Caenorhabditis elegans: one gene and its partner. The protein of the gene in region 1 purifies or fractionates together with the protein of each later gene. This does not show direct contact. Each region holds a gene or a part of one and is shown on either strand. Other genes may lie near its edges.

Evidence for each region.
Region 2: the proteins of Y54F10AR.1 (region 1) and fbxa-40 fractionate together in Caenorhabditis elegans (co-fractionation; one large-scale study listed by BioGRID). This does not show direct contact.

Annotation. Positions count from the first base shown.
Region 1 is NC_003281.10:2,564,387-2,582,352, reverse strand, and holds Y54F10AR.1 (Phosphatidylinositol transfer protein N-terminal domain-containing protein), read left to right. Parts: upstream 1-6,667; coding exon 6,668-6,684; intron 6,685-7,096; coding exon 7,097-7,291; intron 7,292-7,349; coding exon 7,350-7,667; intron 7,668-7,725; coding exon 7,726-7,846; intron 7,847-8,965; coding exon 8,966-9,127; 3' UTR 9,128-10,195; downstream 10,196-17,966. Other genes in the region: Y71H2B.8 (FTH domain-containing protein), read right to left, coding at 247-456, 1,713-1,857, 1,943-2,035, 2,080-2,171, 2,373-2,504, 2,591-2,666, 2,897-3,039; Y54F10AR.2 (Mitochondrial genome maintenance exonuclease 1), read left to right, coding at 10,806-10,900, 11,748-11,844, 11,888-11,977, 12,532-12,633, 12,901-13,008, 13,321-13,381, 13,668-13,773, 14,657-14,885; nhr-239 (Nuclear receptor domain-containing protein), read right to left, coding at 15,797-16,020, 16,078-16,159, 16,206-16,369, 16,921-16,998.
Region 2 is NC_003284.9:1,935,837-1,951,845, reverse strand, and holds fbxa-40 (F-box domain-containing protein), read left to right. Parts: upstream 1-9,646; coding exon 9,647-9,810; intron 9,811-10,316; coding exon 10,317-10,944; intron 10,945-10,995; coding exon 10,996-11,214; downstream 11,215-16,009. Other genes in the region: fbxa-41 (F-box domain-containing protein), read left to right, coding at 1,118-1,281, 1,788-2,415, 2,467-2,685; rgs-8.2 (RGS domain-containing protein), read left to right, coding at 6,815-7,014, 7,063-7,193, 7,238-7,407, 7,457-7,572, 7,824-7,896; Y59E1A.4 (uncharacterized protein), read left to right, coding at 11,859-11,965, 12,674-12,833.

The DNA of each region.
Region 1 (17,966 bases):
ATTTTTCTGACTAAAAATGCTCAATGTTAACGGGTTTTCCCCGTTTTTCTTTTGTTATATTCGTAAGTTTGAGCACGAATACTACATTATAAAACAATTTCCCTATTCAGGATACTCCTTCTTTAAACATTTTTACTGAAATTTTCAGATATTTTCTTAAAAGAAACTTTCAAGTCTAGGATTTTTGAATGAGAATTGGGACATTTTCAAAAATGACATTATCCATGCAACTCCTAAAAACCCCAATTATCTTCCTGGAAACCAAACTTCGAATCGAATCCAATACTTGGGCCCGTGGGTACAGAACATCAGAGCACCGTTTTCAAGATACACGTTGCTAGTCGTTGGATGCATTCTTTTAAGATCATCAAATATTGATTCCACCAGTGTTTCTTCCATTGTATCGAATATTAAACTACGATTGATTCCTGGCACATTTTCAGCAGGTTCGTAGTTCTGGAAAAATTAAAAAAATCATGAATATTTTTGAAATAGTTTGTAAAAGTTTCCGATAAAAGTTCAAAGTATTTTTTATTTTTTGTGGTGTTAAATACTACTCATATGGTGTCAAAATGGCCGAATAACATAATAAAACTTTTCAGATTTTTTAAAATGTTTTATTTACTGTCAAAAAGTGACAATTACTCAGTTATTGCCACTCATCATTTTGGACGTCGACCAAACATATATTTTTCCCTGCATTTTTATACTTTAATTATGTTTCGGTTATTTGTATCTGGCAAATTTATTTGTCGACAAATTCGGCAAATCGGCAAACCGGCAATTTGCCGATTTGCCGGAAATTTCCAAATCCGGCAATGTGCCGGAAATTTTAATTTACGGCAAATTGCCGATTTGCCGGAAAGTTCAATTCCGGTGATGCGTTTAATTTTGCCATTTGAAACTGAAATTCCAAAAAATAAGTGCAAAACCACAATTTGCCGAAAATTTTCGGCAAATTACCGATTTGCCGGAAAGTTCAATTCTGGCAATTTGCCGATTTGCCGATTTGCCGGAACAAATCGTTTGCCGCCCACCCCTGATTTGTATTAAGCATTGATACATGCGACATTGATCTGGATTTCCTCAAAAGCTCATATTTTTCAAAATTTTTATCAATTTGCCAAAACTTTACCGGAAATTATGAAAACTCTGAAAATTTTTAGATTTTGGATCATTATAAGTGTATTTTTTTTAAAGTCCCAACTGGTGCTGGTTCACCTAAAATAGTTTCCAAACACTTTGAACATTTTCCAGAAAACGTGAAAATTTTCAGAAAAATTAATGAGCTGTTTACGGAAGAATCGCATGAACCTGTGATCTAGAATTCCTGGAGTTGTCTTAAGTAAAGACACCTAGGCCACGCAAACATCACCGGTGGAGGTTTTTTTTTAAATACATCTAAATGTCTAAACGATGTCGTTTTAATTAATGGCCTAAGTTTCTATGAACACAAAAATATAGGCCAACTCAATTTAGTCGGTGGCTTAACACTTCAAAAAACATAAGCCACTCTATATTTAATAGACCACAAATCTTCAGAGATAGCGTAGATTCCTAAAACTCAACACCTCAGCCACAGAGATTTCTTCGAAGACTCAGATTTCCAAAAACCAAAAGCTGTTCATAAAATATTTTCAGATGGTCTTGACCACAGTGGCCTAGATTTCCCTTGTCGGGTCTATTCCTCAAAACTTAGAATCCCCGCATACCTCGAAAAATTGTACAATTGCTGCTCTGTTAACAACAAGGGCTTCTCCCGGATGCGGTGCTTTGACGAGAATATTGAGATTCGGCAATCCCGTTTTCAGAACCTCACTGATAAATCTCGAAGTGAGCTCGGTGCTGGAGTTCAAGCTGGAACATATATCCATTTAGAATGGCTTTTTTGATGGCCTAAGTGTTTTTTTAAACTAGGCAACCACCCATCATAATTCATTACCTGAGACTTAGCGTATCCTTCCCATTTTCTTGCAACTTCAGTCGATTCAAAACGTCGAGCAAATGTCTTTCAGATAAATTATTGACATGTAAGCTGAACATTTAAATATTTTCTGAGCAAAAAGTTGTTTTCCTTACCTTAACACTTGGAGCTTAGGACTATTGTTAATAAGATTGAAAGCGGTCTTTATGTATTTGTCGGTCACACTTTCCGATGATGAGATTTCAATCTAAAAAACATGTTGTTTAAAATTGAATTCTAGGTTGCGATGTTTTACTCGGTGGCGTAGAATTTTCAGAACAACTTTAATTAGAAAATTTATTTCTTCTGCTTCAGTTTTTCTGGTTACTGTAAATTTCTCGGTTTTTTTAAAAATTGATTTCACTATTAATTTGTTCTCAATTTTTCGAGAAAAAAAAATTAAACTTACTGAAGCCATTTTTTTACAAAATGATTCGGCAACCGGAATTAGCGATTTTTCGAGAACTTCTTGACTGGAATCGATAATTCGAAAAATTTGCGGAACCATCCATCTCGTCTGTCTAAATCCTTTTATTGTTACCTGGAAGAAATTGAAAAATTAAAAGTTTGGTATTAATATGATACAATGTTAACTGAAACTTTAAAAATAAATAATCAATAACTTACATGTCCTTCTGTCGTAAATCCGTCCGGCTTAGAAATTTCGTTCCCGTCGATTTTAATAAGCTTTACTGGCCATTTGCTGAAAATACTATTTTAAACATTTTTATTTTTGAAAAAGCTATACATTCCTAATAGTCTAAAGTTTTCTTTTATAAGAAACATTTTTCAAAAAGTCGATATTTGAGAATGTTTGAAAATTATTAATTTTGGAAAACCTGGTCTACTTGTACTTCAGAAAAAATAGTTGAGTTTTACATCTATGATTATTAATCTATTTTCAAAAATTCAAATATTGAAAAAAAAACTAACTTTGTTTTATTGGGATCCATTTTATCACTGATATTCCGTAACACTTCATTTTTTGATCGAATTTCCCATAATTTCTTAATTGAAAATTGGCTGAGCACTGATTCTATTGAGAATACAGTCATTGGTTTGGATTTTGAATCCATTTTTAGTTCTGAAAATAAACCCGAGATTTTTTTTCTAAAACGGAAAATTAAAATAAGATAAATCCAAAATTAATTTAGAAGTAGCAGAGTAAAATTTCAAATTAAAAAAATTAATTTCAGCAGTACAATTTAGAAATTTAGGATATTCAAAAAAAAGTTTAAAAATTGAAAGTGGTTTTAAGATGTTTTGAAAACTATTTTGCATATTTAAAAAAATCTAATAAAATCAGTAGACTTGAATGTAAAAATGTATTAATTTGTAATTTTTTTAAAAGATAAAAAAATTGTTTTTTCGCGTCTCTAAAAATCGAATTTCTCATAGTTATTCAGAAAACTTCTAGTTTTTTTCGATTTTAAGTCATCGGACAAAAAGGGCCAACATTACCACTAAAACTGTAGAAATAAAAATATTCAAAAAAAATTTTTTTCAATCGAATACATTTCGTTTTTCTCTCAATTCCGATGCTTTAGTGAAAGCATGTATAGAGCAAGAGAACAGGAGATCGTAGACAGTTAGACGGTTGGAAAGAGTGGCACCAATGTGAAGAGACGCTAGACGAAAAATGAAAAATAATGCATGTGTTGTTGTCTCAAAGATAATGTTGCAATGGTAAACGCAGGCGAAAGAAAATGCAAAAGAAACAAATAAAACATGTGATCTTTGAAACATGGTTTAAGAAAAATTAGACTCGAAGTTGTCTGAAAACACCGAATTTCATAATGAAACTTGTTGAAAACTTTTCAAAAAAATTTGACGACTCAAAAAATTACCTAAAATTAGTTAAAATTTGAAATTTGACAGACTTGTCAATGTAGCAGCTATAGGAAACTAACTTTTTTAAAGTCACTGTCTTATTGATTTAAGTACATTTGAGGTTACCAATATTTACAAAGTCTGTGTTTCAGACAAAATGACACCAAAAAATGCGGAAACTACAGAAATCGGGCCTCCAATATGAACATTTTTGAATGAAATTTTTTTTTTTTTCGCAAAAAGGGTAGAATTCACCGGGAATCCAACAAAAAATGGCATTTTCAACATGGTGCATCGGGCAAAGTTTCCTGCAGAAAGCCACAAGGCCTATGGCTAAGCCTAAGCATATGCCTAAGCCTGAGCCTAAGCATACGCCTAATCCCAAGTCTAAGCCTAAGCCTAGGTCTAAGCCTATGCCTCAGCATCTGCCTAAGTCTTAGCCTAAGCCTAATCCTAAGCCTAGGCCTAGGCCGAAGCAATAGCCCAAGCCTGAGCCTAAGTCTATGCCTAGGCCTATGCCTAAGCCTATGCTTAAGCCTAGGCCTATGACTAAACCTAAGCCTAAGCCTAAATAGCCAATTTATCGCCAATTTTTAACTTTTCAGACGAAAATCGAGATTTTTACAGTTACAGAGAAAATCTTCCAATTTCTAGATTTTATTGTTTTTGGAAGTTAATAAATCGATTTTCAGCAGATAGTCTAATTTTCTTGGCGCTTTTTAATGGCCAAAGGTACCGTACTCTGTGTAAAGGCGCATAACCACGTAGTATCAGCATGTCCCATCACGGTTTGATCTACAAAAAATGCGGGATTTTTTTGCCCAAAAATATGTGACGTCAGCACGTTCCTAACCATACGAAATCAGTTGAGAACTCTGCGTCTCAATTCCTGCATTTTGATTTTTTTTTTCCATTTCTTTACCGATTCACGTGGTGTCAAAGTGCCTTCTTTCGGCATGATCTACATAGATCTACAAAAAATGCGGGAGAAGAGACGCAGAGTTCTCAACTGATTTCGCATGGTTAACAACGTGATGACGTCACATTTTTTTTGGCAAAAAATTCCCGCATTTTTTGTAGATCAAACCGTAATGGGACAGCCTGGCACCACTTGAACCCAGCTTTTTTCGATTTTTTTTTGAATTTTAATTATTTAATAGGGGAAAGTCAAAAAAATCGATTTCATATTGTTTCCGCAAGTCGAAATTTGATTTATGTGTATCTGCCCCAAACTTGTCGCTCATTTCCATGGTGATTCTCGCGCCAGCTTCACACTTTTTCAGATTTTCCATTGAAAATGTCATCCGTCACTTGTTTTTCCAACCCATTTCGCTCCTCTCCATAGTCGTTACTTTTTACTTTATATAGCCTCTCTCTCTCAACTTGACAGCGCACACGCTACTCCACAAACATGACATATTTAGTTTCTGCTCCAGCTCTTTTTTCTCCTCCGTTTTCCCCCCGTCCCGGGTGTTATCGATTTTTCGCCGCGCCGCCCTCTTTTTTTTGGGGAAGGCCATTTTTAATACTATTTTCCATCTTTTTTCCGTCTTCCTTCTTCCAAAAACGTTAAAAGAAAGGAAAAAAAAACGAATATTTCTTCCTCTTTTTCTTCCAAGAAAGGCTCGAACCCTGCTGTTAATCGAGAAGAGAGTATACGAAGTCACCGAGAGGAATGCTTGCGCATTTCGCGTGCCTAGTGAGTCGGCAAGTGAGACAGAAACACAGAAAGCATTCGATTTTCTCCTCGTTGCTGCGCTTATTGCTTCATCTATTTCGTCTGTCTTTTTTTTTTCTTTTTTCCGCTTTGTTTTTATGTTTTTTGCGGGTGTATGGACCTTAACACGTCATTTTTTGCAGTTTTTGCACTGAAAATTGGTCGGAAAATCGTTAAAACCTTCTGAAAACTCATTTTAAATTCAATAAAATTAAATATTCATCACACTTTTGTAGATCGTCGCGAGACCCGAGCCAATTCAAAGACCATGCACCTTTAAAAACCATTTCAAGATTTTTCGTGTATTATGCTCGCTTTTCTCTCGGAATTCCAATCGGAAATTAAAAATAATCTTAATTTTCACTTCGAAATCAAGTTTTCAATATTAAATCGTTAGAATTTCATTTAAAACCACCTAGAAATAGCTTAAATTTGTTTAAAAGTTTAAAAACTTGAAAATTAATTACAATTTCTGTAGATCGCTGCGAGACCCGAGTCTCTTCAAACTATATGCGCCTTCGATTACTGCCCTTCTCAAATTCGTTTTTTTCGCTTTTCCCACGGAAAATTGAGTGATTTTTCCATTTTTCCCTCAAGAAATTTCAAAATGAGAAAAATTTCGCAACACCTCTCTCTCTCTCTCTATTCATGATGACTAATAATTCTACGATTTCGCATTGTTTGGGAGAATTTTGTATTTTTCATGAGAGACGCCGTTAAAATTTCCAATTCCGATTTAATATTGTCATTTTCTATTTAAAAACGTTAGAAAATATATTAAATATTGGTAAAATCAACTTAATTTTACTAAAAAACTTTAAAAAATTCAAAAATTTATCAAACTTTTGTAGTTCGCTGCGAGACCCATCGGCAATTGGAACTCCGTGCGCCTTTAACTTTTCGATCAATTTTTTATTTTTAAATCCAAAAATTTTCAATTTCCCGCTAAAAATCGTTAAAATCTTTGTGAATTTCCTTCAAATTACGAAATTTCGCAATAATTTTCTTCTTTTTCTCGAATACCTTCCAAAATGCAAAAATAAAATCGATTTTCGCATGCTCTCCACCCATTAATCTTCCGTAAAGCTGTTTCCATGGCAACTAGCATAAAAAATTTAGTTTTCAGGTGGTTTCCTCCTCATTCGACACTCGCAAGAATGATTATCAAGGAGTAGTAAGTGATTTTTTTATTTTTAACGAAAATTTTGATTTTTCCTGGAAAAAATCGGTTTTTTTCCAGATTTTCCAACAAAAAAAAATCGGATTTCTCCATTCTTTTCCCAAAAAAATCGGATTTTTTCAAGATTTTTCCCGGAAGAATCGGATTTTTTCCAGATTTTTTCAAAAAAATCGTATTTTTCCAGATTTTTCCATTAAAATCGGATTTGTTCCAGATTTTTCCATTAAAATCGGATTTGTTCCAGATTTTTCCATTAAAATCGGATTTGTTCCAGATTTTTTCCATTCTTTTCCCAAAACAATCGGATTTTTTCCAGATTTTTTCAAAAAAAAAATCGTATTTTTCCAGATTTTCCCAAAAAAATTGGATTTTTTCCAGATTTTCAAAAAAAAAAATTTTTTTTCAGCCGAGTTGTGCTTCCAATGTCCGTCGAAGAGTACCAAGTAGGCCAGCTCTGGTCTGTGGCCGAGGCCTCAAAAGCCGAAACGGGTGGCGGTGAAGGTGTGGAAGTGCTCAAAAATGAGCCATTTGACAATGTTCCACTGCTCAATGGACAATTCACGAAAGGACAATATACTCATAAGATTTATCATCTTCAATCGTAGGATTTTCTTCTTTAATTCTGCGAAAAAAATTGGAAAAAAAATCAATTTTTTCAGGAAAGTCCCGGCAATTTTGCGAAAAATCGCGCCAAAAGGTTCTCTGGCTATCCACGAAGAAGCATGGAATGCCTATCCGTACTGTAAGACGGTTGTCACGAATCCAGACTATATGAAAGAGAATTTCTATGTGAAAATTGAGACAATCCACTTGCCGGACAACGGAACGACCGAAAATGCGCACGGTTTGAAGGGCGATGAGCTGGCGAAACGAGAAGTTGTCAATATTAATATTGCAAATGATCACGAGTATTTGAATTCCGGAGATTTGCATCCAGACTCCACTCCATCCAAATTTCAGAGCACAAAAACCGGGCGGTACGGGAAAAACCTTGAGATTTTTCAGTTTTTAAATTAAAAAAATCTGAAATTTCAGCGGTCCTTTATCTGGAAATTGGAAGGATAGTGTACAGCCTGTAATGTGTGCCTACAAGCTTGTTACAGTCTATTTCAAGTGGTTTGGATTCCAGAAAATTGTCGAAAACTACGCGCATACGGTGAGATTACGAGAGGATTTCGTGGATCGACAAAATGGGCGAAAATGCTCAAAAAACGAGCTTTTTTTTGTTTGAAATTTGTAGAATAACCCTATGTCGATTTACGCAGATCGTGTACTCCCCGAGGAGAAGAATTTCAAAGTTTAAAACTGAAATTTTCGATTTTCGTGGTTTTTTCATACTCAAATTGACAATTTATAGGGTTCTTAGGTGAAAATCAACAATTTTCACTTAAAATCTGATAAATGTAAATAAAATTAAATAAATAAAATCTGATAAATAAAGTTTTCACCTAAAAACCTAACAAACTGCCAATTTGAATGTGAAAAAACCGCGAAAATTGCCAAAAAGTCAAAAGGAAAACCTAGAAAACCTCTAATTTAAGTGGAAGAGGTTTTACACAGCCATTCTTCAATTTTCGAGCAAAATTTCGAACAATTCCGGAAAAAAACTGAAAACCGAGCTGAAAAAATGGAAAAATTTCGCATAAATGCTCGTGGAAATTTTCAAAAAAGTGGATTTTTACCCGATAAATTAATAAATTTATTTAAAAAATCTCAAAAATTAGCTTGAAATTGGAGAAATTTTCTTTAAAAAACCGCAAAAAAAAAGAAGTTTTCGAAAAATTGCATACGAAAAATGTAGAAATCGAGCTGAAAAATGCACAATTTTCGTAAAAATTTTTTTCCATCTTTTTCGCTGAAAATTTTTATAAATGAAAAATAAAAAAAATAAACCAAAACATTGCTTAATTTAATAAAAATTTCAAAAAGTGCGAAAAAATTGAATTTTAATTTTAAAAAAAGCTGGAAAACTGCGCAATTTTGTATAAAATCCTATAAAGTAAAATTTTCGAAAATGTTTTTTTTTGTTAACCCAGTAATCTACCTGAAAAATGGACATTTTTGTTGAGATTCACGTGAAAATGTTCAAAAATCAGATTTATTTCAGATTTTTCCAAAAAAAAAAATAATTTTTCCATTATTTTCCTTTAAAAAAACGGTTTTTTCGCCAAAAAATCTCGGATTTTTCCATTACTTTCCCAGAAAAATAGGTTTTTTTTTCTAGAAAATTCAGCTTTTTTCCATTTTTTCTCCAAAAAAATCCCAAATTTTTCAGCAATACCCTCGCCTGTTCTCGAAATTCCATCGGGAAGTATTCTGCTGGATCGATAAATGGCACGGCCTTACAATGGTCGATATTCGAGAAATCGAGGCAAAAGCCCAGAAAGAGCTCGAAGAGCAAAGGAAGAGTGGACAAGTTCGTGGAATGAATGGATAAATGGACCACCGGGCCGTGTTTGGGCTCAAATTCTAGTCTTTTTCCGATTTTTTTCATCGCTCTTATTTCTCTAATTCTCTCTCTCTCTCTCTCTCTCTCTCTCGCTTCCTCCCACCCATCCACCTGCCCCATGATGAACTGTGTGATTATTTGAGTAGTGTGAATTTTGGGAATTTTGCTTAAAAATTTCTAAAATTATGTTAAATTTGAAAAAAAAAGAAAAATCACGAAAAATCAAAAACTCTACTTAAAAACCGCTTTTTTTGAATTTCCCGCCAAAATGAGACTTTCGACCAATCAGCGATTCGCTCCACCCACTTTCGGACCAATCATTGGTCCAAAACTGGGCGTAGCGAAGCGCTGATTGGTCGCTGTTTTTTTTGAATTTTTTTATAGCAAAACATTCGGAAATTAAAAAAAAATGGCGAAAAATATAACTTTAAACTCGTAATTTTTGAATTCCCGCCTTCGAACTCCGCCCACCTGTTCTGATTGGTTGAATGATGGGCGGAGCGAATCGCTGATTGGTCGCAGAAAATCTCGTTTTTTTTGGTGATTTTTTGAAAATTTTCAAAGCAAATATTCCGAAATTTTGAAAAAATGCGAAAAATTTATAATTCCCGCCAAAATGTGAACTCCCCGACCAATCAGCGTCTTCGAACTCCGCCCACGCGTTCTGATTGGTTGAATGATGGGCGGAGCGAATCGCTGATTGGTTGACGTATTTTTCACTTTTTTTAAAAAATTTTTTGCCTATTTTTCGATTATTTTAAAGCAAAAGTCCCCATTTTTTCACACTGCTCCCCTTTTAAAAACTATTTTTTTTTTCTTATTTTTTTCGTCCCGGCGCCATTTTTTCACTCACTTTATCCACACACACCAGCTCCCACTCACTAGAATACATAGCTCTTTTTTGTCCTTAAAATCGACACCAGTGTGAAATCAACAACAAAAGTTGCTCACTATTTATTATATAGCTTCTGAAATGAAATGCAAAAAAAATCTCATATCACCCCGCACCCCCAGCTCTTTATTATAGAAAATGATAATTTATACAGTTTTTTTTTGTTTTTTGTGACCCCCCCCCCCCTCTTTTTTAGTAACAAAAAATCTTAAAATCAAAAATTCCAGAGAAGAATAAACGCATGTCTCATTTTATTTTTTGAAAAATTTTAATTTTGAGAAAAAACCAAAAAATCCGGTTTAGGAACCTAAATATTTCGAAAAAAACGACATTCTGGGTCTCGACGCGACGGGAATTTTTGTTAAATGCGAAAAGGTATGCGCCTTTAAAGACTACTGTAGTTTCGAATTTTTCACAGTTTTTCGATTTAAAAAAATTTCTGAAAAATAAAAAAAATCGATAAAATTTGCAATAAAATTCAGCTAATTTTGAAGTTTTTTCTACAATTTTTTTTTGAATTAAAATAAATTTAAAAAAACTTTAAAATGAGCTGAAAAATGCACAACTTTGCACTTTTTGGGTTAAAAATTGCTCAAAAATCGCAGTATTTCATCCATTTTCGAAATTAAAAAAAAAAAATTCGAAAACCCCGAAAAATTGATGAAAATTTGAAACTACAGTACTCTTTAAAGGCGCATACCTTTTCGAATTTAACAAAAAAAATTTCGTCGCGTCGAGACCCATTTTTCTGGGCTAAAATCGCGAAATTTTCAGATGAGATGGGCTACAGCCTCCACCGTACGGGCATTTAGTACAGAAATACCGCCGAAAAAAGATTTTCAGCGGGTTGCAGCACTCGCCAAGCTGTGGTGAGGGATTTTTTATCAATTTTTCGGAGAAAACTGCTTTAAAAAACGTTTAAAAGCGCTAAATCTTACATGAAATTGGAAAAAATTGGGAAAAAAGTTGGAAAACAGCGTAAAAATTGCATTTTAACAAGAAAAATCGAAAAAATGAGCAGTTTTCAGCTCATTTTCGAGGTTTTTTTTTCGATTTTTACTTGGCAAAACTTGCAGAAAAATCGATTTTTTCACGAAAAAGAGAAAAAAATACAGAAATTGCGTAAAAACAAGAATTTTAAATCGGAAATGTCAAAAATTTATTGGAAAAATAATTTTGAAAATTAAAAATAGGAAAAATAGCCAAAAATGGTCTAAATTTACATAAATGTTTTAAAAAACGGAGAAAAATCCAGAAATTGCGTAAAAATTGAATTTAAATGGGAAAATTCCAAAAAAAAACACTTTAAAAAATTGAATTTTTGAATAGAAAACCATAAAAAATTCGCTATAAACTTGAAAAAAATTATCAAAATTTCCCAGAAATTGAGGAAATAATTTAAATTTTAATCGAAAAACCTCAAAAAAGCAAAAATTTATGCAAAAATAGACAAATTGTCCATTTTTCTACTAAAAATTCGCATTTTTACATAAAACCACACGTAAAAACCGAAATTTTCAATAAAATTGCGGAAAAATGCTGAATTTCGCTTGAAAAAAATCACAAAAAATTAAAAAAAAAAAACGCCGATTTTTTTTTAATTAAAAAAAAAATTTTGATTTTTTTTTCAAAAAAAATCAAAATTTCGTTTTTTCCGCCGAAAACCCATAATTTTCCATATATTTTAAAAAACCAGCAAATTCCCAAAATTTTCAGGGAAAAATATACATTTCGCCATGAAATCCTTACTTCTTCCGAACAGCCGGCCGTACAAATTACACGATCCGATCGGAATTATTTGGATTACGGAAGAGTACGGAAGATTTTTTTTTCAAATAAAATCAATATTTTTTCAGATATCACTCCATCAGGGCTGTCCACGTCTCATTTTGCAGTCCCCACAGGGAAAAATCGAGCAGGCGAAGGCTTTTGTGCAGGGATATATGGTACTGTACCTTCTCGGGTCTCGCCACGATCGGAATTTTTGAGAAATTGGGAATTCCGGATTTTTTTTTGAACAATTTTGAAATTTTTGAAATTTTTGGCCAAAAATTTCGGAAATTTAGAAATTTTTACAAATTGGTTTTTTTTTGAAAAATTGCAAATTTTCGGAATTTCGAAAAATTTGGAATTTTTGGAATGCTGAATTCTTGAAAAAATCGGAAATTTTGAATTTTTGAGAAATTTGGTTTTTTTTTTGAAATTTGAAATTTTAATAACTTTTTGGAAAACTTTTATATTGGAATTTTTGGATTTTTGCAATTTTTGGCCTAAAATTTCGGAAATTTAGGAAAAAATATTTGAATTTTTTGGAAAATTTGTATTGTGGAAAATTTGAAATTTCTGAGAAATTTGAAATTTTCGGAATTTTGAACTTTTTCGGAAACTTGAAATTTTTGAGAAATTTGAATTTTTATATTTTTGAAAATTAAACATTTTGAATTTTTTCGGAAGTTTGAATGTATTTTCCAAAAAATCCATTTTTTTTAAAAATTTTCAGAGAAACGCATTTGTCCGTGGAATCGGCCTCCAAGACGAGAAAAAGGAGTTCCTCGCTCACTGTGATTCGGTTTTTTTCGAAGTTCTTCGAGCTATTCGGGAGGTAGGCGAGACGAAAATTGTGCCTGCCTACCTGCTAAAAATTCTGAAAAATATGTTTGAAAATTCAATTTTTTCAGAAATAACTCAAAAAATTGTTTTTTGTTCTTAAAGTACGCCTGAAAATTTGGAAAATTAAAAAAAAAATTAAAATATTTGTTGAAAAAAAAAATTGAAAAAATCTGTAAAATTTTCGACTTCCCAAAAAATAGGCAGTAGGCAGGCAGGCATAAAATAGGTGCCTACCTACCATATAATTACAAATTTCCAGGAAGACTTTTCAAATTTGGCGGAATTCACACTCGGCGGACACGAAACGCTGCAATTTCATCGCTCGGCCGCCCATAAGCTCAGTAAAATTCAGAAGGAGGCGCTGAATGTGAGAATTGTTGAATTGGGTCTTGCCGCGAAATGTCGATTTACGGAGTTCGTGTACTCTCCGTGGAAAAGAATTGAATATTTAAATCGCCAAGTTATCAAAAATTTTGCAGTTTTTTTTGTTAAAAATTTACAAATTAAAAAAAAAAGTTCATTTTAAAAATCCATAAAAAATCAGCAAAAATACTTCAAAATCGAGTTTTTTAGCCAAAAACTTGAAAATCTTTTCCTCGGGGAGTACACGGCGAGCTGTGCGTGGAAATCGCTGCGAGACCCAAAAAATTATTATTTTTACGCAAAAAAAAATTTCCAGATAACACAAGATGACCTGCTCGGCGACAACGGCTATATCGTCAAATTTCCATATCTCCGACGTAAATAAAAAAAGTGAAACGTCCATTAAATGGGCGTGGCCATTCTCAGAATTGTAAACGCGCTCCAATGCTAATCGGCGGGAAATTCAAAACTTTGAGTTTTTTTTTTTTTGAAAAAATTTGTGATTTTCATTGCAAATTTTTAAAAACATCTTTAAAAAATTTTGGAATTTTTGCGGTTTTACCACCGAAAACTTGACATTTCCAACTGTCCACTGGAGCGCATTTGCACCTTCGTGTCCATTTTGTGGGCGTGGTTTACCAAATTAAAATTTCGAAATTTCAGATGAAATGGGTCCATATATTCATTCGATAGAGTTTACAAACGTCGACGCTGTCGGAAATACACATTTGGGTGACGGGGAAAAGCCTTTGGATAAGATATTCTGCAGGTTAATAATACTGAAAATTTGTTTGAAAAATTAAGAGATTTCTAAAAAATTGAAATAAAAATTGTTTGGAAATTTGAAAAAAAAAATTCAAAAAATTTCGAGTCGGTCGAAAAAAAAATCGAAAAACGACGAGAATTTTAAATTTTACAACTTTTTGGTATTTTTGCAGTGTTTTTTCAGAGAAATTCGGGAAAAAAAAAATTCAAATTTCCGTTTGTTTCGGTGTTTTTTTTTCAGAAAAAATCAAAAATATTTGAATTTTCCGATTTCTACAGTTTATTGCAGAGAAAATTCATAAATTATCGATTTTTCGGTGTTTTTAGAAAAAAATTGGAAAAAATTTGTAATTTAACAGAATTTTTTAAAAAATAATTTTCGGGAAAAACTCAAAAATCAAACAAAATTTAAAGCTTTACGAAAAAATTTAAAAAAAAAAAAATCAATTTGACCGATTTTTTGATTTTTTGGATAATATTTCAAATTTTTGAATATTTTCCTATTTTTTCTCTGAAAAACCCAAATCTTTGGTTTTTGTTCACTGAAACTTTTAAAAAGAAAAAAAAATTGTTTTTTTTTTCAATTTTTTGGTATTTTTGCATTTTTAACGTTTTTTTTTGGCTTTTTTCAGAGAAGTTTTGAAATATTTCGATTTTCCGTATTTTTTAAAGATATATTCGAGTTTTTAAAAAAATTTTCAAAAAACATGAGAAATGATTAAAAATTATAGAAACCTGGAAAAAGTTTCCAAATTTTTTTTTTCAAATTCGAAGTATCTCCCTATTTTTAAAAAAAAATTAAAGTAAAAAAAAATTCAATTTTCTCTGAAAACATCGAAAAATTGAGAAAAAATCAATAATTTTTACTTAAAATTCCATATTTCCAGATACAAAGTGGTGCTCGGTGGATGCTACAAATTCGATAGTCTCCTGAATGAAATCCGTAAAGGATCACAAATGTGGTCACAACGGATCAAAACACCCAAGGACTACACTTTCAAATGGCCACGCTACACGATTGTCGAATTGGATATCTGTCAGCAGGCTTATAGTCAAATGCCGATTAGACTAAATGATACACGATACCTCTATGATTTTCATGTTTTTTCATTTTGATTTAGGCGACCTTTTCATTGAAATTTATATGTATCATGTAACCAATAAATACTGGTTTTAGTCTATAATTTTGATGTTTGTAGTGAAAATTACAGCAAGTTGCCGGAATTTAAAATATTCGGCAAACCGGCAAATTGCTGGAATTTGAAATTTCCGGCAAATGGACAAACCGGCAAAGTGCCGGAATCGAAAATTCCCGGCAAACCCGCAAATTTCCCAAATTTGAAAATTCCAACAAATCGGCAAATTGCTGGAATTGAAAATTTCTGGCAAACCCGCAAATTGCCCAAATTTGAAATTTCCGACAAATCGGCAAATTTCCGAAATTGAAAATTTCCGGCAAATCGGCAAACCGGCAAATTGCCGAAAATGAAAATTTCCGGCAAATCGGCAAATTGCCATGAATCGAAAATTTCCGGCAAATCGGCCAACCTGCAAATTGCCGGAATTGAAAACTTCCGGCAAACCGGTAAATTGCTGAAATTGAAAATTTCAGACAAATCGGCAAACCGGCAAATTGCCGGAATTGAAAATTTCCGGCAAATCGACAAATTGCCGGAATTAAGATTTCTCGCAAATCGGCAAACCGGCAAATTGCCGAACTTTAAATTTCCGGCAAATCGGCAAATTGCCGGAATTGAAAATTTCCGACAAACATTCCAACCGACAACTTGTCTGAATTGAAAATTTCAGACAAATCGGCAAACCGGCAAATTGCCGGAACTGAAAATTTCCGGCAAACCGGCACATCGGCAAATTGCCGGAAATGAAAATTTCCGGCAAATTGGCAAATTGCAGAAATTGAAAATTTCCGGCAAACCGGTAAATTGCCGGAATTAAGTTTTCCGGCAAATCGGCAAATTGCAAACCGGTAAATTCATTAAAACATTTATTCATCCATCAATTGAAAATCAAAACAATTCAACATTATCTGATTCAAAGACTTCAGTAATAAGACTGCTCATGGAGCTTCGGAGCAAACTTGACATCTCCCATGGTCCGTTTTCATAGAGCCACGTAACTGTATTGATTAGTTGTGTAGCTGTCTCGATAGAGTCATTTGTGAAGGAGTACCGCCATAGACAACATTTATAAAAGTTTTCCAAAGGTGCAGCGAATTTCAGAAGGGGACTGGCTGGAAAATTAATATCTAGCTAGATCTAGCATAAATAAAAGGGGATCTGAAACTTACTGGATTGGGAGAGAAGTATGCAGATAGTCAGCCGTAGTTGTTCTGGGTCACAATGCACTTTTTGCGGGATAGGTTTTGGCGGCTTAAATGGGTTACGGTAATATTCGCTGTGAGACCCAAAAACTTACTGGAAACCTGCTTAGTACTGCCTCATCTCCACTGGCCAATATCAATAGGGCAAATATGATTTGGCAGTTTTCTTCAACAACTTCTCGACGTTCCTGTTGGGACATGAAGTTTAGCAATAAGCATTTTGATGTAAGGATTACGGATTTCGAGAATATCGAGTCATCTGGAAATGGAAAAAAAAACCTGAGAATAAGAGAAGAAATCTACAACTTATCCACCAACTTTAGCAATTTTAGAAATGCCAAGCGTAGAAGTTGCTAAATTTGATTGAAAAAAGTTGGATAAAGTTGTCCAAAGTATTACGTGAACACTAAATTCAGAGAATGCGTATTGCACAACATATTTGACGCGCAAAATATCTCGTAGCGAAAACTACAGTATCTCTTTTAATTACTTTCGAAATGAATTTATTTTCCAAAAGTGACAGCGATATTCCATTTTTCTTCGATTTTTCGTATTATTTTGTTCATTTTTTTGCTTACTATTAATTTTTAATATTTTATCGATCAAAAATGATTTTCGTAAATCGACACAAGCTTTACAGTAGTCATTTAAAGAGTTACTGTAGTTTTCGCTATGAGATATTTTGCGCGTCAAATATGTTGCACAATACGCATTCTCAGAATTTTGTAATAGTCAAACTTAGAAGAAAGAAGGCTATGCAAGGCTAAGTTGGTGTATAAGTTTTGATGAATTACCCGAGTATAGACTTACATTTGAAAGAGATGGGGTTATTGGTATGTTTCAGCTGCAGGCATCGAAGCCTCCGAGGTCCTCGTTCAGTTTGGACAGCTGAATTGAACTTGATATATCAGTTAAGCAAAAAGAAAACACTATTTAAAAACGTAAATTGACAACACATTCTGTTCAATTTTTAAATTAATATTACCCAGGGGCGTTGGTGCGAAGAGTCTCAATTCTGTAGATATATGTAAGGTTCTTTTCATTACAGCTTCGTACACTCAAAATAATAAAACTGCGTGGCGTGTACTGCAGAAAACCTCATATTTAGGCCCCGCCTTTTTCTCGTCCACTCACGGAGAAAAGGCAAAAATTTGGGGACCAACCAATATCAGGCCGCCGACATCCTACGGGTTCCGCGCGCCGCTTTGTTTAACTCGCAGCGGGCGTCGATTTGACCTACGTAGGTCAAACGAAAATTGCGCAGAATACGCAAACACCGGCGGGAATTGCGCTTCATTGCACTTCCAGAATTTTCTTCTTTTTTTCCATTTTCTTTGATTTGTCATCAATTCTCTCCGTTTTTTGCCCATTTTTCTCCGATTTTTGGCCATTTTTTTTCAATGTAAAACTCGATTTTTCTTCATTTTTTGCCGATTTTCTGCCTATTTTTCTTGGATTTTCAAAGTAAAACTCGATTTTTCAGCACCGCCAGCAGTTCTAACGAGACAATGGCTGGAATGGACTTCTCGATGCCAAAGGAGCTCGTGTTCGACGCAATCGTGGTGGTGGAGGAGCGGAAGTTCCACGTGGGGAAGCAGGTTTGTGAAAACTTTGTTTAACTCGCAGCGGGCGGAGACAGCACCACGCCCACAGCGAGTTAAACATAGCGGCGCGCGGAACCCGTAGGATGTCGGCGGCCTGATATTGGTTGGTCCCCAAATTTTTGCCTTTTCTCCGTGAGTGGACGAGAAAAAGGCGGGGCCTAAATATGAGGTTTTCTGCAGTACACGCCACGCAGTTTTATTATTTTGAGTGTATACATTAACCAAAAAATCGATAAATTTACGGAAAAAAAA
Region 2 (16,009 bases), on another chromosome or scaffold:
AAATATAGGTTTTTTTGATTTATAGTCGTTTTAGTAATCATTATAAAAATAAACTCACGAGATGTCGGCCGCTTTATTTTTTGCCATGATTTTTGTATTTTTAATTAAAAATTTAATTTTTTTAATTTTTAATTAAAACTAATAAATTTGAAAAAACATAGTCTTGATCACGGGTTACATGTAACTAGTTGACCTTTTTTTTTGATAACATCTTTAGTTTTAGAGTTTAACGGAATAAAAGCGAAATCATCAAAAAACTAAAAGTGGATATCTTATTGGCCAGTACTGTATTTACTCATCTAAAATCATTAGCCACTATAAATATTTGTCAATACATATATACAAAAAGTTTACATCACTCATCATTTAAAACCAATAGAGAATTAGATATAAAGAATTAGAAAATAAATGTGAGGACAACCACCAGTTGTCCAAATTCAAACACCAAATGACCGGATACTAGTCGTGAAGCTCGTCTTTCCCAGGAGGAGGTGTTTCTGCTTTGTTTTCAAACAACGCACATTTGGTCATTGTATGGGCTTAATCACAATGGAGCAATGTACAGTTGATAGTTGACAGTTGACAGTTGGCAGTTAAGTACCTTTGTTGTTGACAAGCAGAAAATCTAATTTGCTAAAAAAGTTTGTGTTTACTACATCTGACTTAAAAACACTTTCAAGGCCTTAAAAATCTTTTTAAAATTACAACGTTCGAACTGGATTTCCATAGTTTGTAAAGTTATTGTCTTTCATTGTCCGAAACTTACTAAATATGTTTTAAATTGAAGTTTAATGAGAATAAACTTTAAGAAAACAAATCTGAAAACTTTGAGATGACTCTTAAAATATTAAAATGAAAAAATCCAACTTTTTCTATATCAACGATAGTAACTAAAATAATTCCATTATCGAAATTCACGTTGAAAGCCTCAACTTTTTCAGAACAGAGAAACTTGAGCAAACTTTTTTTCTGTAAACATTTGCAACCACTCTTCAATTAACAAATACCGAGAGAGCAAACATTTTTCTACTTGCTCATCCAAACTTTTGGTTAGCGATTTGAAACAATATACCGACTCCCCAAAGTTTTTTTTTTAATTTTCAGTTGTTCTTTCGAAATGTTTGGTAATTGCTTGAAGGCTGTTGCCACCCGGTTTTTAAAATTATCAAATTTCAAACAAAGACCCAATTTGCAAAACGAAGGTGTGATGTCTTCAAATCTGCTCGATATGCCTCTAGATGTGATCAATGTAGTAATGGGAAAGTTAGAGCCCATGGACTTGTGAGTTGAATTCATTATTAGTGGAGTAGTGCCAGTGGGAATGTTGTCTAAATTCAATTATAATAAATTGAAAAGTTTTGGAAAATTGCCAAAATTCTGAAAAATATGAGCAATTGAGAAAATCCAAAGAAATGTAGCATTTTTAGACCCCTAATACGAAGTTTTAATACGAATAATTAAAACAAAATTGCTGTATAAAAATGTAGGAAATTTTTTTCCAAAGTTTTCGACTTCCAAAATTATGAGTGACAAAAACTGAGTAATTGTCACTTTTTTATTGTAAATAAATAAATTTCAAAAAAAAATTGAAAACCATAGGAGTAGGTATTAAAACTTTTACCACTGGCTACTAGACCTTTCAATTTTAAAATATTCTAGACTTAACAAGGGTCACATAAAAAAAGTTTGAAACCACATAATCTTGGGTACCAGCTGATTACTTCAAAATGAGTGAACCTTTCAAATTGTAACACAGAATTACATAAATAACCACCAATTCATTACAGATTAAGATTGCGTAAAGTATGCCACAGTTTGAAATCTGCTGTCAATAAATTTGGAATTCATTTCGATTCAATTCATTTCGAATTACATGATCACAGTATCACCTTGTGCTTGGACAATGGATTTCCCATTTACATTAGAGCAGTTTATGGTGGTACGACTGTAAGCTACGGTCAGCGAACAATTGAAATTGAAGAAGAAAATTTCATGGATGTTGGGTTCAAGGATTTGAAGTTTTTATTGAAGCATGTTTCCACATTAGGAATATATAATTATGCAAAAAATAGAAAAGAGATCATAAAATCTTTTATTGATTTTTTGAAACCAGAAGAATGTTTCCCAGTGGATGCAGTCGAAATTTGGAATTTCTCATTCAATGATGTCGTTTCTTTTCTATCTTATTTTGATGATAAAACACTGAAATCAATAAAATTGAATCAAAATGAACCAATAGAACAATTTGAGCCAATAACTTATTTGGACCAGTGGACAAATGCAAAACATTTTGGCCTCAAAGCTACAAATTCTAATGTTGACAGTGAAATAATTAAAAATCTGTTTCATTTTCCACATTTCTGTGTCTACAAAATAACCGATTTCCCAACACAACTTGCAGTTAAAATAAGAGATGTAAGTTATATGTACTTGGATTTTTTGGTCAGATAATTGATTTTCTTGCAGAATCTAATGAGAAGAAGCACATTCCAACAGTGCACTTTATCAGTCAACAAATTGACCTTGAACCCAATCGAAATTGCGAGAATATTCAAATCGGACTATACTGGTGGTAAAGAATATAAATTCAAATATTCAAATGGAACTCACAAATTTGAAATTTCACTTGTACAATCTACTAAATGTATTTATGTCCCTTTTATCTTTTCTGTGAAAAGATTGTGAAATTTCATTTTAAATAAAACGTTTTTGTTGAAGTACTCAAAGTAATTATTATACGGTATATGATGCATTTCCAGTAGTACTGCAGTTTCTAGTAGTGGCTAAAACTAATATGTATCCTGTGCTAACAATAATACATTTTTGGCCGGCGCTGTCTATTGTTGAACACAACGATGGTTCGACTGTAACTTACAATCATAAGAAACTGAATAAAAAGAAAACTCTGTGAAAACTGCTTTCATAGAATTGCAGATAGCACCGGAGCATGAGTATTTACTTCTCTACTCTTGCATAGTTTTTTTTCGAGTCTAGAATCTTTAAACATGCCATGATACATATGAACTCACCAATCAATGAACTTCAATTTTTTTTAGAACTGAGCCGCAAGAATCTGTGGGAAGTAATTTGGAGGAAAATTTTCACAAAAAGGAACAAAAATAAATTTTTGTATCAACCAACTTTATTAAATTATTATACTTTCAGAATTAAATTAACGTTTTTTTTCAACGAAAAAATTGAAAAAGTGCTGCCGACTCATACATTTGATTTCAAATAAATTGTTATTGTCCGAATACTCAAATGCATACTCATTACCACCATCATATTCCGGTTTGAATACTTTCGCTATTTCCTTCTGGTTATACCCTTTGCAATGTATTACACACTTCCGGAAGGTACTTTTTCTTAAAAGATTCTGTAATACGATTAAATGTAGAACGGAATGCAACCATTATTACTTGCATCTCTGATTACAATTGCACTTTCAGTTGGAAGTACGTCCATTTCTACATCAAACTCTTCAAAGTGAAACAACTGCTCTATTGATAAATTTTTAATTGCGAACGGATTGCATCGAAATAAAAATGTTTTTGCATTTTTTCATTGGTCTGATTGAGCAAGATCTTCGATACTTCCGTTTCCCCGCAATTCAATACTGTCTAGCACGTGGGCATCAAAATTAGAGAGAATCGAACAACTGTCCTTGAATGTAAACATTCGAAGGGAAATTCCTTTCACGCTTGAAAATTTTGATCTTTTCAAATAATCGATAAAATATTCAATATTATCTAGTCGTGAATGATTGTTAAACACTACTTTTGAATCGGTGTTCAATAGCATCTCCAAATCCTTGAATGCTATTTTTAAATAGTTTTATTTTAGTTTTAGTTAGTTTTATAGTTTTATAATCCTTGATAATCGTTTCCTGACGGTTGTGAATCCCAGTTGTATTACTCATATCACCATTCCCAGCAGAAGTATAATAAATTACGGTTTCCTCCAACTCCATAGAAACCTTGTCTAGAAATAAGTTAAACGTGATTTTGCCAACATTAAATTCAAATTTATTAACGGCGGTTCTCAAACCTCGACACACTTTACGGCAAGTCAATCTGAAATATACTTCCGAACAGTTTTGTATATTACATATCAGCGGTGTGCGGCAAATTTGCCGAATTTGCCGTGTGCCAAGTTCGGCAAATTTCAAAAAGAACCATGTGTGTATTCAGTAGTTTTGGTGCTCCAAAAAACTTAAAAAATGTCACTTTTTCGGAGTTTGTTAGGCACGGCAAATTTGCCAATTTTGCCGAATTTTCCGAGCTCGGCAAATTTTGAGATTTGCCGCACACTCCTGTTTCATATGGAGCACTAAAAAAAAGTTAAACAAAACAACTCACCGTTCCAGGAACCCAAGCTTTTTCAAAATCTGATTAGATATGGTGAGAGGCATATTGAGAAATTTGGAAGAAACTTGAACATCAGACATTATTTGAAAATTTGTTTGAAAACTGAAAGAAAAGAAAAAGGATCATCTATTAGGTTGGTCAAAAAGTCTTTGCAAAATTTGTTTGTTTCTTCATTGCTCAGCGTTGATTTATTTTTTTCCAATTCTGTTTTTTTATTTGTATAGTACGTACTGTGCATGCTTAATACATTTGAAAAACTTGTAGGTACTGTTCAAAATGACCGAGAATTTGCTCGCAGAAAGTCACACCCTCCGAGGGGTTTTTCTGTACGAGTTCCTCCAAGGCCACAGTTGCAACGAAGCTCGTCGTAATATGTGTGCAGTATTAGGCGATAACTCTGTCTCCTACAATACCATGAAGTTTTGGTTTGAAAAGTTCAAGAAAAAGAACTACGATCTCGATGATAAACCAAGATCCGGTCGCCCGCGTTTGGATATCGATGAGGATATTTCGAGAGCCCTGGAAGATGATCCAAGATCAATGTCACGAGAAATCTCTGCGACTCTCAAGCGTCCCCACACAACCATCATCAACCATCTCCACGAATCCGGAAGGGTGCCAAAGTTCGGTCAACTCGTTCCTCACAATTTGTCCGATTCTCAGAAAAGTTGTTTTGTGACCTCTCTTTTTCGCTGCTCACTAGGAAACGAACAACGGACTGGGTTAAGGATATCATTACTGGAAATGATAAATGGGTATTGTATGTTAGCCATACCAGGAATAAAGAGTGGGTCCCGGTCGAGGAAACCGCGACAAAAACCTGACCTCAAAGGGAAACTTCACGAGAAAAAGTGCTTCTCTCAATTTGGTGGGACAGTAAGGGTGTAATTTTCCGAGGGCTTTTTCCAGACTTCGTTACAATCAACGCTGGCCTATACTCTATTCAATTGGAAAAGATGGTCCGTGCTCATCGATTGCATCACCCTAGAGGATCAAAATTGTTGCTGCTCTATGACAACGCAAGATGGCATACAACTTTGAAGACCCGCCAAAAGCTCCAGACACTCGGAATCGAAGTTTTGCCTCACCCACCGTATTCACCGGACTTGGCTCCTACTGACTCTCAGGAGTTCTATGCGGAGGGATTTGCTCAACTTCCGTTGCGTTGGCAAGAAGTCATAGACACTAATGGAGAATATATTACCCATTGAATCTTGTTCGCTTTCAATAAATACTTCTTACAAAAAAAATTCAAAATTTTGCAAAGACTTTTTGACCAACCTAATATTTTTTTGTGTAGCAATCTATTTTTCGTGTAACAATCTATTTTTCGTGTAACAATCTATTTTTCGTGTAACAATCTATTTTTTCGTGTAACAATCTATTTTTTCGTGTAACAATCTATTTTTTCGTGTAACAATCTATTTTTCGTGTAACAATCTATTTTTTCGTGTAACAATCTATTTTTTCGTGTAACAATCTATTTTTTCGTGTAACAATCTATTTTTTCGTGTAACAATCTATTTTTCGTGTAACAATCTATTTTTTCGTGTAACAATCTATTTTTTCGTGTAACAATCTATTTTTTCGTGTAACAATCTATTTTTTCGTGTAACAATCTATTTTTTCGTGTAACAATCTATTTTTTCGTGTAACAATCTATTTTTTCGTGTAACAATCTATTTTTTCGTGTAACAATCTATTTTTTCGTGTAACAATCTATTTTTTCGTGTAACAATCTATTTTTTCGTGTAACAATCTATTTTTTCGTGTAACAATCTATTTTTTCGTGTAACAATCTATTTTTTCGTGTAACAATCTATTTTTTCGTGTAACAATCTATTTTTTCGTGTAACAATCTATTTTTTCGTGTAACAATCTATTTTTTCGTGTAACAATCTATTTTTTCGTGTAACAATCTATTTTTTCGTGTAACAATCTATTTTTTCGTGTAACTTTTTTAGTTTCGATGTTTTCAGTTACACTAGAAAATGTGGTGTCAAGTATTATGTTTTCAGTTGAACTAGAATTAGTGGTGGGGGGGGGGGGGGGGTTAAAAAACTTTTCTAGACTCTTCTAGAAACTTCTACAATTTTCAATATTTGTGTTTCGTTAAAAAACATGTGGAACTATATCAGTCGTACACATAGAGTTATCAAAAGGTATAATATGGACTCTTATTATAATTGCAGTCCCTAATAGACTTTCATGCAAACCTGATAAGAAAAAACCCATATTTTGTTCATGCAACTTCTACAAACCCAAACTCCTCCTACTATTAACGTTTTCTTTTCCTGTTTGGCAATTGCAAACATTGACCTCAATTAAGTATGCCTCCTGGGAATGCAGAAATTGCGCGCCAATGCAAACGGGCACCCTTCTCGTGTCATTTGAACACAGCCCACCTCTCGCAACACCGCTCATTCTTCTTCTCTCTCTCTCTCAAAATGTCTATGGCCACCGTTGATCCGTGGATGCAGAATCTTCCTCAAATTACCAACCAGGATTTCTTCCATTCCTCGGGAATCGAATGTTGGAATCGACAGTTTCCCGATCACCGCGTTGTCGAGGAAAATGGTCCGATCAAAACGAAGGATGCGTTGATGATTTTGTATTTTATCACAGTGAGAAATATCAGGAAAAACCGGTAAGAATTGCTCTTTTTTTTTAAATCAATAATTTTACCTTTTTGCAGAAATACAATAACTCGTATCAGGGATGCACTGAAATCACCGGTTTCAATTTTCCGCCGCTCTCCAAAACTCTCACTTCAAGAGGATGTGCTCAGTTGGCAGAAATCGCCGGAATCTCTTGCCGCCAGCGAATGTAAGAAATGCTTTCAAGTTCCTTTTTAATTCTGCAATTTTCAGACGGCAGTAAACTTTTCGTTCAATTTCTGAAACAACAGACGTCGGCTGATGATGTCGATTTTTGGCTGGCATGCGCTAAACATCGGTGGACAGAAATGACACGGGATGGATACGAATACGCAGCTTATATGATTTACAATACTTATGTGTTCTGGACGTGTGAAAGAAAGGTGAGTAATAGTAAATGTCTCTAAGCAATTTTGTGATTGGAATTTTCAGATAGATCTACTTGATAAATTTTGCTTTGTGGACGACGACGGTGGCACCCCGAGAGATGTGTTCATCACTGCTCAGGCATATGTTGGGACCAAATTTCCAAAGGATTCGCACAAGAAGTAAGTTGAAAAGTCAATTTTTGTAAAGATTTGGTGAACGGTGATTAGATAAATGTGTTTCACGGGACACTCTGGCACCATTGCGGTTTTTGTTATGAGCTTTTGGTTCCGATTTCTGTCCTCAGTTTCGATTTACGGCAAAAATTTTACTTCAATTCTTGCAAATTGACTAAACTTAATTTAAAAAGTTGCTAAATTTGGGTGATAAGTTGTGGAGAATTTTCGAATAGTTCAAAAGAGAATTTTTTCAGATTCCTCCAAGATCCCATCTACTTGAACTTCCTCCATTCGGTATCGTCTGCAGCAAATCAGCAAAAGAAGTAAATTGAGTGACATCATATTTTTTTGGTTTTCTCTACAATTTTTCACACCTCCCACCCAGTTCCCAGTTCCTATTGTTTTTGCTAAATGTACGTCTATATTTTATTGATTATTACTAACCAAAGTCTTGTTTGAAATAAAACTGTTGCATGATGCCTCCGGGTAATTGTGTAATCACTCTTCAATTTGCAGAAATTTCTCAACCAACTCTAGAAATTCCTATTGCAAAAATAGCAAATATTTAGTAAAGTTGGTTAAAATGGGTGCGGATAGACGAAAATTGCTGATAGTTCTAGAAATAGATTTTCACCCATTCATTTAACTTTCAAAATTCAATTATACTTCTGTAAATTGCATTTTCATTCGAGTAATTAAATTAATCTAGATATAAATCCGTCGCCCGTCTGCAGCTGGTCTCTCCAAAACTTTTGAGTGCCTTTTTCGCTATATCTATCATTTTTGCGCACCCTATGCAATTAAATATTTTATTAAAAGAGCATTGTCGTTCACTATATTGGAGGTGACAATTTACGATTAAGCAACTCCTCGGAGTGTAGTAATCTCAATTGCTTCCCAGATATGACTAGAATAGAAAAATTATTTAACATTATGATACTTCCACTACCTTTCCATTAAAAATATAGGTTTTTTTGATTTATAGTCGTTTTAGTAATCATTATAAAAATAAACTCACGAGATGTCGGCCGCTTTATTTTTTGCCATGATTTTTGTATTTTTAATTAAAAATTTAATTTTTTTAATTTTTAATTAAAACTAATAAATTTGAAAAAACATAGTCTTGATCACGGGTTACATGTAACTAGTTGACCTTTTTTTTTGATAACATCTTTAGTTTTAGAGTTTAACGGAATAAAAGCGAAATCATCAAAAAACTAAAAGTGGATATCTTATTGGCCAGTACTGTATTTACTCATCTAAAATCATTAGCCACTATAAATATTTGTCAATACATATATACAAAAAGTTTACATCACTCATCATTTAAAACCAATAGAGAATTAGATATAAAGAATTAGAAAATAAATGTGAGGACAACCACCAGTTGTCCAAATTCAAACACCAAATGACCGGATACTAGTCGTGAAGCTCGTCTTTCCCAGGAGGAGGTGTTTCTGCTTTGTTTTCAAACAACGCACATTTGGTCATTGTATGGGCTTAATCACAATGGAGCAATGTACAGTTGATAGTTGACAGTTGACAGTTGGCAGTTAAGTACCTTTGTTGTTGACAAGCAGAAAATCTAATTTGCTAAAAAAGTTTGTGTTTACTACATCTGACTTAAAAACACTTTCAAGGCCTTAAAAATCTTTTTAAAATTACAACGTTCGAACTGGATTTCCATAGTTTGTAAAGTTATTGTCTTTCATTGTCCGAAACTTACTAAATATGTTTTAAATTGAAGTTTAATGAGAATAAACTTTAAGAAAACAAATCTGAAAACTTTGAGATGACTCTTAAAATATTAAAATGAAAAAATCCAACTTTTTCTATATCAACGATAGTAACTAAAATAATTCCATTATCGAAATTCACGTTGAAAGCCTCAACTTTTTCAGAACAGAGAAACTTGAGCAAACTTTTTTTCTGTAAACATTTGCAACCACTCTTCAATTAACAAATACCGAGAGAGCAAACATTTTTCTACTTGCTCATCCAAACTTTTGGTTAGCGATTTGAAACAATATACCGACTCCCCAAAGTTTTTTTTTTAATTTTCAGTTGTTCTTTCGAAATGTTTGGTAATTGCTTGAAGGCTGTTGCCACCCGGTTTTTAAAATTATCAAATTTCAAACAAAGACCCAATTTGCAAAACGAAGGTGTGATGTCTTCAAATCTGCTCGATATGCCTCTAGATGTGATCAATGTAGTAATGGGAAAGTTAGAGCCCATGGACTTGTGAGTTGAATTCATTATTAGTGGAGTAGTGCCAGTGGGAATGTTGTCTAAATTCAATTATAATAAATTGAAAAGTTTTGGAAAATTGCCAAAATTCTGAAAAATATGAGCAATTGAGAAAATCCAAAGAAATGTAGCATTTTTAGACCCCTAATACGAAGTTTTAATACGAATAATTAAAACAAAATTGCTGTATAAAAATGTAGGAAATTTTTTTCCAAAGTTTTCGACTTCCAAAATTATGAGTGACAAAAACTGAGTAATTGTCACTTTTTTATTGTAAATAAATAAATTTCAAAAAAAAATTGAAAACCATAGGAGTAGGTATTAAAACTTTTACCACTGGCTACTAGACCTTTCAATTTTAAAATATTCTAGACTTAACAAGGGTCACATAAAAAAAGTTTGAAACCACATAATCTTGGGTACCAGCTGATTACTTCAAAATGAGTGAACCTTTCAAATTGTAACACAGAATTACATAAATAACCACCAATTCATTACAGATTAAGATTGCGTAAAGTATGCCACAGTTTGAAATCTGCTGTCAATAAATTTGGAATTCATTTCGATTCAATTCATTTCGAATTACATGATCACAGTATCACCTTGTGCTTGGACAATGGATTTCCCATTTACATTAGAGCAGTTTATGGTGGTACGACTGTAAGCTACGGTCAGCGAACAATTGAAATTGAAGAAGAAAATTTCATGGATGTTGGGTTCAAGGATTTGAAGTTTTTATTGAAGCATGTTTCCACATTAGGAATATATAATTATGCAAAAAATAGAAAAGAGATCATAAAATCTTTTATTGATTTTTTGAAACCAGAAGAATGTTTCCCAGTGGATGCAGTCGAAATTTGGAATTTCTCATTCAATGATGTCGTTTCTTTTCTATCTTATTTTGATGATAAAACACTGAAATCAATAAAATTGAATCAAAATGAACCAATAGAACAATTTGAGCCAATAACTTATTTGGACCAGTGGACAAATGCAAAACATTTTGGCCTCAAAGCTACAAATTCTAATGTTGACAGTGAAATAATTAAAAATCTGTTTCATTTTCCACATTTCTGTGTCTACAAAATAACCGATTTCCCAACACAACTTGCAGTTAAAATAAGAGATGTAAGTTATATGTACTTGGATTTTTTGGTCAGATAATTGATTTTCTTGCAGAATCTAATGAGAAGAAGCACATTCCAACAGTGCACTTTATCAGTCAACAAATTGACCTTGAACCCAATCGAAATTGCGAGAATATTCAAATCGGACTATACTGGTGGTAAAGAATATAAATTCAAATATTCAAATGGAACTCACAAATTTGAAATTTCACTTGTACAATCTACTAAATGTATTTATGTCCCTTTTATCTTTTCTGTGAAAAGATTGTGAAATTTCATTTTAAATAAAACGTTTTTGTTGAAGTACTCAAAGTAATTATTATACGGTATATGATGCATTTCCAGTAGTACTGCAGTTTCTAGTAGCGCTGCATTCAAAAAAAACCACCTCTATAGGTTCGACATTTTGAGGAGAGTTTTTGAATATTTTCGATAACTTCTTGTATTTACAAACAGAAATGAATTATTGGCTTCATCTCATTTTGGTAAAGGGAAAAAACACCAAAAATATTCATCAAAATTGCTCAAGCCCATGTGAAAAAAATTCCAATCATGTGAACAATTAAACCGTGACTACAACGGCATGCGCACAAAGATGAAAAAAGCGTGTCCGACCGCCACGTTGGCTGACCTTGCAACGTTGCCGCGGCTGCATCAACAACAACAACACGAACACGTGGAGCTTTCGGACAAACTGCAGAAACTTCTAGAATCCGTTTTAACTTTTTTTTATTGGTTTTATAACACTTTTACTTGCGTTTGATTATTTTGTTTCAGTTTCTGGTTCTTTCAAACCTTTTCAATTCTTTTGTTGTACCTGTAAATGTTTGCCGTTGACTTTTAACTCTTGAAATGCTTTATTCAAAGTTATAATTTTTTATTTCAGATATCTCGCGAATCCCTGAATCTGCTCAGATGTCGTCTCCTGACAGCTCACAATCCAAGAAGGCAGTTGGATCCCATCCATCTGCACGCTCAGTTTTCCCATCAATGGATTCTAGCGTCTTCACGGATGATGACGGGTAAGAGAGATTAAGCTAGATAAAGTTATATGCTTGTTTAGAAGCTTTTTGAAAAGAGTCCATATTCCGTGTCAGGCTGTGCGACAAACTTTTAATTTCTGAGTGACATGCAATTTTTAAATCCAAATCAAAAACTTGCTGTAGAATTATGAGAAAAACTTTCCTTGATTATAAGTTGTTGGTAGTTTCCTGAGCTGGTTTTGAAAATTTTTTGACAAACAAAAAAGTTTGGGCAGTTTTTTGAAATTGTAATGATATTCCAACAAAAGGTATGGGTATTTTTGACACATTCAAATGTGAATAAGTTTCGGGTCTAATAATTTTTTGCTGCTGATTATGACGTTCTAAAACTCTGGTACTGAATCCTATAGACCTCCAATCTTGTGTAACTCAACAAATCGTTTTTACACCCGTCCTCTGTGGCCTAGTCGGTAGTCGGTGTGTCTCGTTAAAATGAGGCTATGGTTCGATCCCTCCTGCGTTTCAATTTTTTGTCAATTGAACAATGTTTTGAAATATCTCTTCCAATCACTTTTGAGCACATTTGAGGACTTCACAATAAGTTTTAGGAAATTAAGAAAAAATCTAGGAAGCAAGATAGTGCAGAAGCCTCAGGAAAAGTGGCTAGGTTACGTTGAGTGGACTTACTTTTTTGTGACTACCGTCAAATGAAAGCTGTAACTAATCTCATAAACTTTCAATTTTCAGGTGTGAGATATTGCATTCGACGGCAAAAACTTGCGCACCGCCGGATCCTTGCTTTCCCACATCTCCTTTTTTTTGTGTGGAAAGTCCTGATGTGACAGATTTATCGCCTGACAAACCAGTGGAAGATATCCTGAAACTGGGAACGTATGTTTATAAATAATTTCACGGTTCTTCCAAAAATTTTTGAAAACCCCCAGGTATCCCTACTAGGAGCTACTTTTTCAGCCTTCAGCCCAAACTTGTTAGATTTTTAAAGGGGGAGTAGAGTTTGTGGGGAAATATATGTTTCTGACTCTAATTTTGCCCCTGATGCCGAATATCCATGTGAAAAAATTCAAAAAAATTTCCCTGATTTTATATTAATTTTTAAAATCCGAAAATTCATTGGATGCCAGTATGTGAGTTTTCAAACGTTGAATTTTCCCGCCAGAGACGTGCCGCAGGTGTGGGTTTACATTTTTTTCCAAACTTTCACTGCATACCGATACCTTTTCTTTTACATTTTTTATTATTGAGCTTGTCATAAAATTTGTCTCTATTCGGGAGTTTTGTTTTATTAAATCTTTTGAATGAATCCATGTATTCATATGGATAAACACCTTTCTTTCTCATCATAAAACTAAGAACAGAAGACCTTCCCACGAAACCGTGCCGCAGGTGTGGGTTTACGAGGTGAATATTTTCCTTCTATTTTTATTTGATTTTATACCGATTTTCGTCGATTTTTCTCATTTTTTCGCTGTTTTATGGCGCATCTCTATAGTTGTGGGATGGTTTTTTATATGGCAAAACACAGTTATTCCACAAAAATTCTGCAAAAAATGCTTTTTCGTGCACTTTTCATCTGAAATTTACCACTATTCCACGTCTAGTTTTACATCAGCTTATCACTGCGCGAGCTCATCTCTCCTCACTCCTCCGCGAGACTTTAACGGCGTAAAGTTAACAGTATCTCTTGTAAATTCAAGAAATTCAGCACACACACACACTCTCTCTCTCTCTCTTCGCTCTCACTGCTGGTTGTCTCCTCTGCGTCTCTGCCAGGCCGCGCTGGGTACATAACGGAGAACACTTCCAAGGCCTCCATGCCTCAGTCGGTAGCAGGTTGCTTGGCCAAAGAGAAGGATGACAGTTCGACTCCCATGTGCGCCCTATTTTTTTGCCTTTTTTGTTTTACTTATTACTTTGGTTTTCCCAAAAGCACAAAGTCAAGAAGTGGAAAGTAGAAGCGTTTAACACAAGTTTTGAAGTTTTGCTTATTATTAAATGACTACTTCTGGTCTCCGAAAAGACCTAAAGCCATTAACCAATCTAGATCTCTTAGAATTAGTTGAAATACTCAAGATCAAGAATTTCCGTGGAGTATTCATGCGAGATACTCTACCAAATGAAGGAATTGGAGAAAAAGAAGTAGGAATTGTGATAGCAAATCCAACATAAATGGGTTTATCCAGAACAATGTTAGTTTTCTCCATTTCTACAGCTACCAGGTGTTTATTATTCTTCTTTTAAAGTTAGGTTTACTTGCTAATTTTTTGATTTTATCTTCATCAGTAACTAAACGGACATCAACTCTTTCTCTGACATTTTCCATAGTTTTTCCAAATACACTATTATTCATTAATTTGTAAAAGTCTTTCTCAAAATCATTTTTAGCATTTTTCCTGGGATTTGTGTTCATTTCAATATATGAGGCTAACCAATTGCTTTCCTTGAAAGTAATGATCCTATGAATTTTCTTCAGCTTAAGTCCTAATTGAAGACACTGTAAAAGATTTTCATAATGGATCACATACTTCTCTCTATCAAATAAGGTATTGCACAACTTTTTAATAACGTGATTATCAATTTTTACATTCTCTGGACACAAAGGAGAATCATTATGCCTTGAGTGTATTTCTTTGGGATATTCTAAATCTACTTCAAATATGCAACCTCTATCTAACTTCTTCAAATAATTAATATAATCCTTTAGATCCGATTTGACTTCAGCTTCACCATTGAGAATACTTATTAAAGATTGAGTTTCAAATTTGAAGTCTCCAGTAGGTAACATTTGACACATTGCCCATCCATACAAATTGTTAGCATCTAGATACAAAAGGAAATTTGTTAATTGTTTTTCATTGAAGTTTTTAGTGTATTTGTTGTTAACTTTAGAATATCTTTTGACAGCATTAACTATTCCACCTCTAATTCCTTTTTCAATCATGAGATACATCTCAACATCATGAAGTTTGTCTAATTCTACTTTAGTTTTCTTAAGCATAGCATCCCAAGCTAATCCTGGAGAAGTAAAGTACCAACAAGGATCAAGTTGATAAACCCTTAGACTCAAAGCTCTGAAGTTTTCAAATACATCTGCTAAAAGTAGGACATCATTGATCATATAAATTCTAGTGTAATCTTCCAAACTAGTACACTTCATTTTTTTCCAAACTTTCACTGCATACCGATACCCTTTCTTTTACATTTTTTATTATTGAGCTTGTCATAAAATTTGTCTCTATTTGGGAGTTTTGTTTTATCAAATCTTTTGAATGAATCCATGTATTCATATGGATAAACACCTTTCTTTCTCATCAATTGGAATTGATGGGGGCTATAATAATTTTTACAAAGGCGTAGGTTTTAATCACTCAAATTTTCTGCTAATTTATCTAATGCAGAAGGCATGAAAGAGAAAGAATCTAGAAACCTACATTCAATTCTATCATATAGTAAGGAATTGATAAATCAAGACCTTATTAATTAAACAATTGTAACCTGAGACTGAGACTTTGTAACTTGTAACCGTGAAAACTAAGAACAGAAGACCTTTGATATCTTACTAATAGATTTATTAGAAAGAAAAAGTCTTTTTAAACCAGGAAAACCAATAATATCTCGAAATACTCGAGACCAAGACACTGAAAACAAGGAGAAAACTCCTCAACTGAACCCTAAATCTTAACTAAAAACAATAAAAACCTAAAACTTGTAACAATGGAAAACGGCGAGCATTACGGCGTCGACCGGCTTGCATCCGTTCTTGCGGGAGAAGTGCTAAGAAATCTTGGATTCGCGTCGCCGTGTGCGCAAGGCACTGAAAGTGCGTCAACAAGATCGCAAGGCGCGAAACTTGTTGAGCAGGAAATCAGAGGTTTTGGCGTGTCAAAATGACAAAAGAGCTTGCGTTGAGGGAAAAATAAAAGAGAAAAAGGGTAAAACCCTACAATATACATTATCTGTTTGTGAAGGTAACTTGTAGCTGAAACTGATAAACTTCTCAGTATTGCTAGAAATTTTTTCTATTTCTATTTCATGCTCATTCAAATACTTAGTACTTTCAAGACA